Linked DNA regions of Kluyveromyces lactis. The protein of the gene in region 1 purifies or fractionates together with the protein of each later gene. This does not show direct contact. Links are inferred from orthologs where the notes say so. Each region holds a gene or a part of one and is shown in the gene's direction. Other genes may lie near its edges.

Region 1 (2,746 bases):
GTGGTGTTGAGCGTCGTGTTTTTCTGATGACATTTTTATTTTCTGTTGATACACTGATACGTTTGTTGTGAAACTGAATCCCTAAAGAGTTGATAATAGAGAGAATATAGAAAATGTTAAAGCCTTAACAAAATTGTAACGATAGTTTACCTTATTTTAATGAGCACTATTTTTTTTCGGCTTTTTCTGTCTCTTTATATTTTCGGGGTTGAATTTATAGAAAGAAAAAAGGGTAAACTGATTATGGTATTTCTGTCTAAAGGAACTATTAAAAAAAAACACCGGTATGGGCTTTGATTCTGAACTGATTTGAACCAAACTTTGAACTTTTCGATTTGGACCTGAGGTTACTAAACTAAGACAATCTTGTGGAGAAGACTCAAACAATACCCTACTAGTAGTATCGCAGTTATATAATATCGTACTTTTCAGGGATATATCGCTACTTAAATATCCGTGCTCAGAACTGATCTAGAAAACAAAAAAAAAAAAAGAAAACGGGAGATCACAATCACAATCACAATCCCAATCACGATAAAAGCTAAAAGTCGAACAATGATGAAATGTCACAGTGTGACGAAGTGTAACTATTGGTGATGTAGTGTGAGTGCTTTTATGTATTATGTATTGTAATACGGATGGAGCGGTTACAGCCGGTTCCCGCTGCGTTAGTTTGGCTTCTCTGTTCCACGTTTGAACATTTTCTTTCCAAGATGCTGAGAAGGTGTGCGGCATAAACGTCATTTACGCTGGATAGCGATAGAAGTAATCACTTTTCTGTCTCAGAAGATGAATTTGCTTCTGTCTAATAGGCCAATTGGAGTGTATTTGCTACTAACATGGCTTGATAATGTTGTTACCGTAAAATAAGGGCTGTTCTTCTGTATACTTTTCTGTGTCCTATTGACTGAATGTCCTGATTGCGGTGAAAGCAAACTGAGAAAGCAAAATGCATGCCGGACCTGGGGTAACCTAGGGTAACCAAATTATATCTCCTAGTCGGGATATAAATTTTGTGGACTGCTTTTCTCCATTAACACCCGTACATTCGGCAATTTCAATTTCCATCTTTTTTTTCAATAATGATCGCCACTTTCTTTAATAGGAAATATTGACCTTTAAACAAAACTATCTTGACACGTGATTTATAGCCTCTTTATATCCTCTTACCCTGCCAGTACAATCAAAGTTTTTCAAAGGTTTCTAGCTTCACAACCATGCAAACACGTCGGATATTTTTTTTTCACACATGAGACCTATCTATCTCATCACTAAACAAAGCTGCATCTTACCAAACGTTAAGTAATTTAATTTTATAATCTCTATTTGTTTCTCCTTCGAAGCTCCCCACGCATTGTATTTATTGTCGATTGAAAGTTACCTATCCATCAACTTTCCGTGATCCAATCCCGACAAGTCTTTATTAAGTACAATTCGATAAATCAAAGATGTCTGCTCCACAAGCTCAAGGTCAACAAGCTCCACGTAGAGGTGGTTTCGGTGGTGCCAACAGAGGTGGCAGAGGTGGTAGAAGAGGTGGTAGAAGAGACCAAGAAGAAAAGGGTTGGGTTCCAGTTACCAAGTTGGGTAGATTGGTGAAGGCCGGCAAGATCTCTTCCATCGAAGAAATCTTCTTGCACTCTTTGCCAGTCAAGGAATTCCAAATCATTGACCAATTGTTGCCAAACTTGAAGGATGAAGTTATGAACATCAAGCCTGTCCAAAAGCAAACCAGAGCTGGTCAAAGAACCAGATTCAAGGCTGTCGTCGTCGTTGGTGACTCCAACGGTCACGTCGGTTTGGGTATTAAGACCGCTAAGGAAGTTGCTGGTGCCATCAGAGCCGGTATCATCATCGCCAAGTTGTCCGTTATCCCAATCAGAAGAGGTTACTGGGGTACCAACTTGGGTCAACCTCACTCCTTGGCTACCAAGACCTCTGGTAAGTGTGGTTCCGTTTCCGTTAGATTGATTCCAGCTCCAAGAGGTTCCGGTATCGTCGCCTCCCCAGCTGTCAAGAAGTTGATGCAATTGGCTGGTGTTGAAGATGTCTACACCTCTTCTACTGGTTCCACCAGAACTTTGGAAAACACTTTGAAGGCCGCTTTCGTTGCCATCGGTAACACCTACGGTTTCTTGACTCCAAACTTGTGGGAAGTCCAAGCTTTGACTCCTTCCCCAATGGATGTCTACGCCGACTACGCCACTGCTTCCAAGAAGAAGTTGTAAATGTCATCTTTAAAATATTATAACTGTGCTGTATAGATATTTTTTTATAGCTGTCAGTATGTTTTCTCTGAAACAATAATATATTGTTGACATTTTACCAATTGTTCCTCTTCTCTTCACAAGCTACATATCATATATATTCACACTCATTATAATTGACCTTAACCCTTTAGGATCGATCATAATAAATGATCAATATACGTGACAAACTAACTAAGGGAAACTATATGACTGTCCTATACACTTCGTAGCAAGAAAAACCAGAGAAAAAGACATATGGTAAAAAAAAGAGATAGTGATAAAATCAAGGTAAAAGGGATTTCTCTTATATGACCATTAGAGTACAGGTCAAGATACGCCAATCATATTAATAGGCTTCTGGAATTTAAACACTGCCAGTCTCTTTTTTACAGTAGTCTTTCTTCCGGTTGACCTTTTTTTTTTATTACTTTACAGTATTTTTTTACCTTTTAAGACTTTTTTTTTTTTTAATAATTAATAGATATAACACTATAATA
Region 2 (3,088 bases), on another chromosome or scaffold:
GTTCCCTCATGAGCTGGTCCAAGTGCGGTTCCCGCGCTCTTCAAGTCCGTAACGTCAGTGGAGCCCTCCTGGCTGAACCACACAGCAGTGAACCATAAGCAGTAAATGCAACTAACAATTGTGTCCACACTGAACACAAAAGTAACCGTGGACATTAAGAGGATATTGGGCTTATAAACTTGTCTTATTCCTGAAATGAATACCACTAGACAGAAAATTGACCAGATGTAAAAAGTCCATTGCACAAAGTCTAACGGGTGTCCAGTGAAAAGTGCAAGAACACCATACATCCCGCTGAATTTGTTGAAGGTTAGCACACCAAGTGCAACCTCAACACCTATGTACAAGGGATAAGACAGGAATGTCTAAAGGGCAATGTCATCTGTTAGTACATATTACTGGTATCAAAAAAAAACCATGCATCAAACGATCATGTAAAAACGTCTTTCAACTGCGGTTAAATACCCAAAAGAAACATACTTGTGGCAAATGAACCATATTTGATTGCTGCTGCATAGGAGTATAATAAGGACAAACCCTGACGTTAAAGCAAGTTGGTTTCTTCCACTTACACAGGTAGACCTTTCAATTCATCTACTGAGCGTTTTAGAATGTTTACAACTATTTCCTCTATTGAAAAGCAATTCGCGATCCTGTCTAGAGCATCGTGAAAAAAAAACGTAGGAAAAAAAAAAGTACGCTACTTTACTTTAATGGTGTACAAGATGAGCGATGAGGTTGGAATAGTGGTTATTTACAGAACAATATACGCCGTTCAGCTCCTGTGTATTGTCAAATTAGTAAATCAGAAAGCAGAAGTTATCTATAGTTGGACTACGAATGATGAATATTGACGATAAGCTGGAAAAACTGAATTTAGCCAACCGTGATGAGCATGTCAACACTCAGATCCTAGAGAGGTATGCCAATAGCATCAAAACAGATGAGTTATCATTAACTAGGGGTAAAACCAGCAAAGATAAGGCGAATAGGGCCACTGTAGAGAATGTTTTAGACCCACGTACGATGAGGTTTTTGAAATCCATGATGAACAGGGGAATATTATCAGCATTTAATGGTTGTTTGAGTACAGGTAAAGAAGCAAACGTGTACCATGCGTTTGCTGGTAATCATGAGGAGAGACATCTGCTGGTAGAGGGACATGATGATACAATAGGAGCCCCACAAAATATTGAATCAACAAAACAAAAAGCTCTAACTGCCGAATCTGAGGATGCCACATCCACTTCAACTGCCACTGATGAACCAAAAAATAAGAAGGAATACGCGGTGAAGATTTACAAGACATCTATCTTGGTTTTTAAGGATCGTGAAAGATACGTTGATGGTGAATTTAGATTCAGAAATTCGAGATCTCAACATAATCCTCGTAAGATGATCAAAATTTGGGCTGAAAAGGAATTTAGAAACTTGAAGAGAATATACCAAAGCGGTGTCATACCTTGTCCAAAACCAATAGAAGTTAGATCAAACGTTTTAGTCATGGAATTTTTAAATAGAGGAGATGGTTTCGCATCTCCGAGGCTTAAAGATCATCCTTACAAAGATAGAGAAGAAATTAAACATTACTACAATTTAATGATAGCGTACATGAGACTGTTATATCAGGTATGTCGCTTAGTTCATGCAGACTTGAGTGAGTATAATAGTATTGTACATGAGGATAAGCTTTATATTATTGATGTTTCGCAATCCGTACAACCAGAACATCCTATGTCTCTAGATTTCCTAAGAATGGATATTAAGAATGTTAACTCATATTTCCAAAAATTGGGAATTGACATTTTCCCTGAACGGGTGATCTTCCAGTTCATCATCAGTGAGGTCTTAGACAAATTCAAGGGTGATTACAGATCAAGCGATGATCTAGAAACATATGTTGCCGACAATTTACCTCTAAAGTTGACTGATGAAGACGAAGCTGAAGATGAAGTGTTCAGATCTTTACATTTGATAAGAAATTTGGGTGGTTTAGAGGAAAGAGATTTTGATAGATTCACTGATGGTAAATTTGACCTACTGAAATCATTAATTGCTAATGAAAACAGGAAATATTCCGAAAATTTCACAGCATCGGAGCAATATGAACTCTCTTCTTCTGATGACGAGGAAGATGACGTAGATGGTGATGATCTCCCTAACCTCGTAACGGATATCAATGAAGATGACATAGCTGGATCAGATGAAGATGATGATAGTGATGAAACTAACGATAGTTCTGATGGTGATGGATGGGTCTCCGATAAAGACACTCCACTGAAAGGAAAAAAGTACGAAGATAAAGATGCTAAAAAACAACGTAAGCAAGAAACAAAAGAGGCCAAACGTGAAAAGAGGAAGACCAAAGTAAAAAAACACGTTAAGAAAAAGCTCATTAACAAGACGAAAAGCAAGAAATGATCAATTTAAAAATTCTATGCAATTTCAAATATTTAATATTTACTTAGCGATTTTAAATAGATCCACCGCTTTGATGTTGCCCTACAAGACCTGCCATTTCCAATAATGCACGATCTTCTCCCATGCTTTGTAAGTTGATCTTTTGCCTTCTTTTGGCTTCGGCCTCTTCCCATTGCCATTGCTTTACTTGCTCTTCGAGCTCTTTTTCTCCTCCGCATCCCCACACTTCTACATCTTGGATTATGAATCGGTATTCGAACGAATTCCGTTCTTCTCCACGTCCACTTATTAGACGGCCAGGCTTAAAACTCCCACCTGCTCCCAAATGTCTAAATATACCGAACTCGAGAGATGAATCAATAGTAAGTGAAACATTTCCTGGGAAGTATTTTTTACCGTTAGCTTTGATGATAGGTTGAGAGCTACCAATACCTATACCTCCCCCAACAGTGTTGAAATATACGTTTCCTGTCTTGAATGGGTCCGCATCGAAGATCTCTTGTCTTGGATGAAGTTGGATAATTTTTGTAGACGAATCACCAAACAAATCTTTATTTGATACTTTCCATGGGTCGCGAATACAAACAGCAAATAACAATTTTCGTTTTTTCTTACTTAACGTATCCAAATGTTGATCTTCACTTTTTAACTTACCATATTCTTGCAG

What was found.
Region 2: the proteins of RPS2 (region 1) and RIO1 purify together in Saccharomyces cerevisiae (affinity purification with mass spectrometry; 3 studies listed by BioGRID). This does not show direct contact. The link is inferred for Kluyveromyces lactis from reciprocal best matches to the Saccharomyces cerevisiae genes RPS2 and RIO1.

The regions. Positions count from the first base shown.
Region 1 is NC_006042.1:901,706-904,451, forward strand, and holds RPS2 (40S ribosomal protein uS5), read left to right. Parts: upstream 1-1,448; coding exon 1,449-2,228; downstream 2,229-2,746. Other genes in the region: OM14 (Om14p), read right to left, coding at 1-33. UniProt on the Saccharomyces cerevisiae protein: Component of the ribosome, a large ribonucleoprotein complex responsible for the synthesis of proteins in the cell.
Region 2 is NC_006041.1:1,885,612-1,888,699, forward strand, and holds RIO1 (protein kinase RIO1), read left to right. Parts: upstream 1-840; coding exon 841-2,421; downstream 2,422-3,088. Other genes in the region: KEI1 (Kei1p), read right to left, coding at 1-365, 481-516; RTC5 (Rtc5p), read right to left, coding at 2,474-3,088. UniProt on the Saccharomyces cerevisiae protein: Required for the final endonucleolytic cleavage at site D converting 20S pre-rRNA into the mature 18S rRNA. Required for the final steps of cytoplasmic maturation of the 40S ribosomal subunit.